2 linked regions of the Arabidopsis thaliana genome follow. The protein of the gene in region 1 purifies or fractionates together with the protein of each later gene. This does not show direct contact. Each region holds a gene or a part of one and is shown on either strand. Other genes may lie near its edges.

Region 1 (3,926 bases):
AAATTCCAGACTAGGAGAGTTACATTTCTCCCGTTTAATAAAAAAGTGAAGCAGACTTTAGTCACAGAGACACTAAGAATAGCATAAATTACGATTGATTAACTGACCTGATGAATACCACTTTCATGCGCAAAGGCGTTTGCTCCTACAATAGCCTTATGGGGCTGCGTTTGCATACCAGTGTACTCCTCAACCTGAGAAAATGAGAATAGACCTTAAAAAAAAGGAAAATCGCCAAATAAGAAAAATATACTTTTGTTTCCACAGAGTTAAGAATGAAGTTCAAAATGTGTACCATCTTGCTTGTCATAACAATGTGCCGGGTATCGATTCCAGTAAATAGGCCTCCTAAGACATGATCTCCACGGCATTTTATGGCCATGACAACCTACACAGTAAGAATAAAATGTTCAAGAAATAATTTAAGTATTTATATGCAGTTCACTATGAGATCATAAACTGAAAATCACAAAAGTCATAATGCCTTAGTATGTAGCATAATATCTAAGTAACTATGGAAAGGAAGCTACTTCAGGAGGCTTTCATATCTGACCTCTTCCAATGAAGCGTTTCCAGCTCTTTCGCCAATTCCATTGATAGTCACTTCCACTTGCCTCGCGCCCGAATGTGCACCCTGAATTCAAAAAAAGATTGACATGTTAGTAATAACTTCTAACAGCTAACCCGATCCAACCAAATATGAAAAAAAAAATGGCATACAGATAAAGTGTTGGCGGTGGAGAGTCCAAGATCATTCTGACAATGTGTAGAGATTATAACATTTTGGATCCCAGGAGTATTAGCTTTAATATCAGCAATCAACTGACCAAACTCACTAGGCAAGGTTATACCAACAGTGTCAGGTATGTTAAGAGTGGTTGCTCCAGCTTTGATCACTTCACCAAGAATCTCGTATAAGTACTCTCTCTCCGATCTGGCCACCAATTAAACATTTCACGTTAGCAGAATCAGCTACTAATAAAGGACCATCAATACATTAAAATACCATCGAATCCAAAAAAAAAGGAACTTGAGAACATTCCATGACGGCATTTTACAACAAAACTATTACCTTCCGGCATCTTCTGGACTAAATTCAACATCTTCACATCCCAAGCTTCTGGCGAATCTAACCATGTTCCTAGCGATCTCAATAACTTCTTCTTTACTCTTCTTCAACTTATACTTCAGATGAATATCACTAGTGGCAATAAACGTATGGATTCTTGGCCGCTTAGCGTACTTCACAGCTTCCCAAGCCGTCTCAATATCCTTCTTGTTACATCTCGAGAGACCACAGATTACAGGGACATAGCCATTTTCGTCGACGGTATTGCCAACAGTCTCAGCTATGGTTTTAACAGCTTCGAAATCGTCTTTTGAAGCAGCGGGAAATCCAGCTTCGATGATGTCGACTCCGAGCTTGGCTAATTGACGAGCGATATCGAGCTTTTCCTTGGAGGTTAGTGTAGCTCCGGGAGACTGTTCACCGTCTCGGAGAGTTGTATCGAAGATTCTGACGTAATTGGGATCGGATATACGGTTAGGGATGTAATTGGGACGACGGCGAGGAGCATGAGGTGGTAGAGGTGAAGAAGCGGAGAGAGAATACGAGACACGGAATTTTCCGGCGGTGGTAAGAGAGATGGTACGGTGGTTCTGTGATCGGAGATGAAGAGATGAAAATGGTGAGGTGGAGGAGGAGGATAAGGCGGGAATTGAAGGTACACCGAACGATGGTGAAGAGAGATTAGGGCTTTTGAGAATCGAAGACTCCATTGCCGTGGAAAATCAAAAACCTGAGAGAGATGATAGTGTGGCGGCGGCGGCGACGGGCGACGGCACAGTGTCTCTGGTTACTACTTTGCTAGTGAATATTTTTGATTTGTTTTATTTATTTGAATTGTTCCGAACCGAACCGAACCAAACCAAAACCAGAAACTTCTCTTTAACAGTCAACCAATTGGAAAATGAACCGGTTTAAGTATGGTTCTTTTGACTCCTTAGTTTTCATCGCCTCCGCCTGCACCAACCTCCAAAAGGACGTTTTTCAAATTATATAACATCATTTTATTCTCCGCTTCTCCATTTTAGTCAAAAGAATCACAGAGAGTATTTTTTTTAGGTATCGTGTAATGGCTTTGACTACAAAACCTCACCATCTTCAGAGATCTTTCCTCTCTCCGTCGCGTGTTTCCGGCGAACGATATTTGGAATCTGCGCCATCATGTCTGAGATTCCGTCGCAGCGGTGTCCAATGCTCGGTGGTGGCTAAGGAGTGCAGAGTGAAAGGAGTGAAAGCGAGACAGATTATTGATAGTAGAGGGAATCCGACGGTGGAGGTTGATCTGATTACCGATGATCTGTATCGTTCGGCTGTTCCAAGTGGTGCATCTACCGGGATCTACGAAGCGCTTGAGCTTAGAGATGGAGACAAGAGCGTCTATGGTGGTAAAGGTGTATTACAGGCTATTAAAAACATCAATGAACTTGTGGCTCCAAAACTCATTGGAGTTGACGTTAGGTGAGAATAAGAATTCGTTCCTCAATCTAAATGAACATATAAACGTCGTGATTTGGAGTTGGTATGCTTAGTTAGATAGAAATCTTCGGAGTTGTTTTAGCTTTGTTTCTCTGCTCTGGATTACTACTGGTCAATTTGGTGGACTTGGATTCGAATCGTAATGCATGACTGTTGAATTTGGAATTCTAGTTAAGGTTATTAAGGTTGTTTGTTGCATGTAGTTTTAATTTTGCTTCATACTTGATACTACTAAGTGTTGAAGTAGGTGTCATTGTTGAATTGTTCCGTTTGTGGTTTCTGATTCTGAACCGTTGGGAAACTATAATCGGTGATGGATAGTTGAATGTAATATTTTTACCTTATTTTCTTTAAGGAACCAAGCTGATGTCGATGCTCTTATGCTGGAACTGGATGGGACCCCAAACAAGTCGAAACTCGGGGCTAATGCGATATTAGGAGTGTCATTGAGCGTTTGCAGGGCAGGTGCTGGAGCTAAAGGAGTGCCTTTGTACAAACACATCCAGGAAACATCAGGAACAAAGGAGCTTGTCATGCCAGTTCCTGCATTCAATGTGATCAATGGAGGCAGTCATGCTGGGAATAGTTTGGCTATGCAAGAGTTTATGATACTACCTGTAGGAGCTACCTCATTCTCGGAGGCCTTCCAGATGGGAAGTGAAGGTCAGTTAGTGATAACTGGGTTTAACTTGCTAGAACTTAAGAAACTATGGCGGCTCCTAATTTTTCTTGAGTTTGCAATGAAATGTCAGAAAAACAGAAAAGCCTTGATAAGCAGCTTCCTGTTTCATATTTCTCTTTTGGTTCCAAAGTTCTTCTATTCTTTGGATTATCACAAAGAATTGTTTTTCTGATAGTAATGCATTTAATGTACTTTGTTGATTACAGTTTATCATACATTGAAGGGGATAATCAAAACTAAGTATGGTCAAGATGCTTGTAATGTCGGAGATGAAGGAGGGTTTGCGCCGAATGTTCAAGATAACAGAGAGGGACTAGTTCTGCTCATAGATGCAATTGAAAAGGCCGGTTACACTGGAAAGGTAATCAAGTTCTCTTTCTTTTTAATGCTAATACTTGCTAAAGTTGCATGTCATCTGTGTTTCCCTAAACAACTTCTGGCAGCTTCGGTGTCAATCTTACACCACTCACATAATATATAATTTTTGCAGATCAAAATAGGAATGGATGTTGCTGCATCAGAATTTTTCATGAAAGATGGTAGATACGATTTGAACTTCAAGAAACAGCCAAACGATGGAGCTCACGTACTGTCAGCCGAGAGTCTTGCTGACCTCTACAGAGAATTCATCAAGGATTTCCCAATTGTCTCTATCGAAGATCCTTTTGACCAGGATGATTGGAGCTCATGGGCTTCATTGCA
Region 2 (3,926 bases), on another chromosome or scaffold:
TTAACTGATCTGTTATGAATGAGCAGCAATGAATCATGCTTCATGAAAATAGTAGATAGTTGTCCATTTGGTTCTCGTTGCAGTTTTTCCCATTCTCCAACCAATTTCTTTATTTCCAGCATCTATAGTATATATTTAAAAGTCCAGTTTCCACCGATGTCAAGACGAGGTGTATGTATACTTACTGATTCCTGTAGGAGCAAAGACTTTGAAAGCTGCAAGAAGGGCTTCTTTGTAATTTTCTTCATCCGCTGATACCATCTTGGACTTAACTAAGTCCTAAAATTTCAAGGAGTAAGAGAGATAAAGACAAGGAATCACAAGAAAAACAAAGATTAATAACTGTTTGCTGATTAACAAAAAGTAAGGATACCTTAAACTCGTTTTTCTCTTCCCTGGTTGATGGAAGGTTGCCGCTATGGTGTTGAGCCCATTCTTCAGCCACCTTGACTAGAATGACGACGTAAGGAATGTGCTTATGGGCAGCGGGTTCTTCTACATTTAGATCAATGGACTCCACATAGCTGCAGATCATTGAATAAATAAGATTTTCTTTCAACTGGTTGCAAGTTTGTGGAGATTAAAAGTAATTTGAAACACAAGTTTAAAGAATGGCAAGAACACATAACGAGTGAGAAGATTGAAGCAGAGTACCTCTTCAGCTCAGGCCATGGACTATTCAAGCGGAGATCATCAAGAGAATGATCAGGCTTTGTCTCAATAGCGGTGTGTTCCTGACAGGAAAGAGCGAACATGACATAGCAGTTAGCAGACAGACCATATGACAAGTGACAAAGCACTCTATCCACAAAAATCTTACCTTTACACTGATACGAACAAACCCAGTAAGTCCATAGGAGCGAGCCAAAACCAACATGACGTTTGCTTCCCGGCAGATTCTATCTAATTTCACCATTGAATCTTCTACTAGCTACAATCAACACATGACAAACTAATAAGGCAAACGCTCTGTGAAAATCTGAAAACAAAGACTAGAAACTATCTAATCCTCAACATAATGTACCTGAGTGGCGATAACTAGAGTGAACTGAGAGAAGAAAGATGGGTCTGTCGATATCAAAGTGTCTGGATTCTCCTCAACAAAATTTGCTTTAACAGAATCGTTAAGCTCCTGAAGAAAGCCACAGACCGTTTTGGCTCTTGACTGACCAACGCTCTTCGCATCCACTGAAACATCAACAACAATCATCAATAAATGTCAATAAACAGCAAATAGAAGAAACGCATTGCTTAAGAAAGATGAAAAAGAGAGAATTATACCCATGAAATTGTTTCCAAGGTCGCCAATTTCTACTTTAGATCCGTCGACAATGGTGATACTTCCGATTCCACCAATAACAAGATTCTTTAGAGCCTCAGAGCCAGTTGGACCACAATTGAGCAAACATATGCTCGCGGTTTCAAGAGCTGATTGACCTAATTCTCCCCAAATCCTATGAATTTATCCCCAATCATCACAATTTGAGCGAAATTAAGAAGAATGATGAAAGAGACAGAGAAGTTGAAGAAGAGAAAGAGAGTTGGGAGGAGAAAGAGTGCACCTTAGCTGACGATCATACTTGGTTTTGGGTTCCGCCATTGTTGGTTCGTGCTCGAGTCTTTCGCGGGTTTTTCAGTGGTTCGTGTTCTCAACTTCAGACAGAGAGAAAGAGAAAGACGCAGAGAGAGAGAGAGAGAGAGAGAGAGAGAGAGAGAGGTTGTGACTTGTAAGAAAGAAAGGGAATGGCATTTAATAAGAGAACCTTAAGTTGTCTCCTTTCTTTATTTCCTTCCTAATTTGGAACATTTACAAAGTTTAGGGCTTAATTGTAATTTTTAAAAATTAAGACTGTATTATTGCAAAAACACCTTAATGTATAAAAGAGATAACAAATTATAAATAAAAACATATAATTTAAAATAAAATCAAAATTTATGTTTTCTGGATTGAGTTTTCATTTATTAAAATATATATATACATGGAAACATATCAAAATTTTATATAAATTGTAAAAATAAATGACATAGCTAGAAAAAAACACATATGTAATTTAATTAAATATTATTAGATGAATAAGTGATAAAATCTCATTATGTAATAGTTTTTTGCCGCCTAAAAATCTTTATTATGAATAAAAAACGCCAACTCAAATTTTGCCTTGCTACGGGTCTCTCTTTATGCAAAAATAAAATGAAATACTATTAACATTTCATTGACAAATTAACTTAAGAGAATAAACTTTTGAGAAGAAATAAAATGATTAACACATGGCAATTAAAATATTTATATTGTAATCTAATCTTAAATAAACTTAACAAAATGGGCCGTTACATGTAGGGCCCAATAATGATGGGCCCCACTGAAAACAAAAATACAAACAAACGGCTGCTGTGACTATAGAGTATATAGACTAGATAGGACTTTGTGAGCTCGAATCAAAAAAGCACTTCAGTCACACGTTTTTCAATTTCTCTCTTCTATTTTGTTCTCAGAAGAAGAAGAATGATGGATGAATTTCTGGGCATGATTTGATCTCTCTAGTTTTGTTTCTCTTCCTTTAGTAATCTCCTGTCAAATCATGGTTTTTTAAAAAAGATAGTTCTTGACTTCTCTTGTTAAAAATTCGTTGCGTTGTCGTAAAATTTCCCTTTTTTAACTTATGCCTACAAAGTGTTTGCGTATATTCCGCAGAGAGAACCAGAAGGTAGCTCAAAGAGGTAAAGAGAATGTCTCACTGTTGTTAATTTCAATGAATTTGTAAAAACTCTTTTTCAGATTTTTCTTCTGTCCGGATGAGTTTGTGTATATAAGTCTTCATATCCACATTGTTGCTAGTTTTCAGCTAAAATAATCAATTTGGTTTGACTTGTGATTGCTCTTCGCTTAGATCTTGATTCGTCTTCTAATCGCATTGACTCTACAGGTCAAAGTTGGAAACTTTACCTTGCTTAGTTCTCTAATCTTCTCATCCTCAATGCTGAATGAAGAGTTGCTAGATTTAAATGAGATGGTTCTAGTTCCAACACAAACTATCTGAAGTGGTCCTTACTTTGATTGCATTATCTCCATGGGACTGGGCATTGACCCATCTGTCGCTATTACGGCACTGATTGTGGTCATTCTGGTGGTTCCAATGGATTGCCAAAGACCTCAACTGGTGAACATCGGTGCTGTTTTTGCTTTTGATTCGGTTATCGGAAGAGCTGCAAAAGTAGCTCTAGAGGCAGCTGTTTCCGATGTGAACAATGATAAAAGCTTTCTCAAAGAAACGGAGCTACGGCTATTAATGGAGGATTCTGCCTGCAATGTCTTTCGTGGGTCCTTTGGAGGTACCGTGACTGTTCTTCTAGTTCTTTTGTGTTTCAAACACTTGTGACACTCATCCATGGCTGATACAGTATATCAAACATATTATAGAAAGCGGTCAATGCACATCAGTAGCAACAATATTTCATTTTGTGATAGTTGGAAATGATTGGCACATCGATTTACGTTTTAATCCGTTTTTTATTGGTACATATTTTGGGTTCCGAATGCTAATAATGCATAGAACAATATAGACCGCATACCCTAAACAGGCTGTTACTAGGACCTGTGTTTCCTGTACATAAGTGGAAACAAAACTTTGGTTTTACCACTAAGGGCCTGGTTTAAGCTTCAGTGGTTTTTGTTTTGCAGCTTTTGAATTGCTTGAGAAAGAAGTGGTGGCTATGATCGGTCCAATTTCATCCTCTGTTGCTCATACAATTTCCGATATTGCAAAAGGGCTCCACTTTCCTCTTGTCTCATTTGCAGCAACTGATCCAACTCTCTCTGCCCTCCAATTTCCCTTCTTTCTTCGGACTACACCTAATGATGCCCACCAAATGTCTGCCCTTGTGGATCTTATCAATTTTTATGGATGGAAAGAAGTGATCTCAGTTTA

What was found.
Region 2: the proteins of IMS1 (region 1) and AXL fractionate together in Arabidopsis thaliana (co-fractionation; one large-scale study listed by BioGRID). This does not show direct contact.

Annotation. Positions count from the first base shown.
Region 1 is NC_003070.9:27,840,111-27,844,036, reverse strand, and holds the start of IMS1 (2-isopropylmalate synthase 1), read right to left. Parts: upstream 1,929-3,926; 5' UTR 1,780-1,928; coding exon 1,073-1,779; intron 935-1,072; coding exon 721-934; intron 635-720; coding exon 554-634; intron 389-553; coding exon 296-388; intron 195-295; coding exon 108-194; intron 1-107. Other genes in the region: ENO1 (enolase 1), read left to right, coding at 2,136-2,524, 2,898-3,205, 3,431-3,585, 3,715-3,926. UniProt on the Arabidopsis thaliana protein: Catalyzes the condensation of the acetyl group of acetyl-CoA with 3-methyl-2-oxobutanoate (2-oxoisovalerate) to form 3-carboxy-3-hydroxy-4-methylpentanoate (2-isopropylmalate).
Region 2 is NC_003071.7:13,755,376-13,759,301, reverse strand, and holds the start of AXL (AXR1-like protein), read right to left. Parts: upstream 1,710-3,926; 5' UTR 1,601-1,709; coding exon 1,563-1,600; intron 1,455-1,562; coding exon 1,282-1,454; intron 1,189-1,281; coding exon 1,025-1,188; intron 932-1,024; coding exon 821-931; intron 735-820; coding exon 655-734; intron 525-654; coding exon 374-524; intron 280-373; coding exon 186-279; intron 1-185. Other genes in the region: GLR5 (glutamate receptor 5), read left to right, coding at 3,069-3,330, 3,680-3,926. UniProt on the Arabidopsis thaliana protein: Regulatory subunit of the dimeric ECR1-AXL1 E1 enzyme.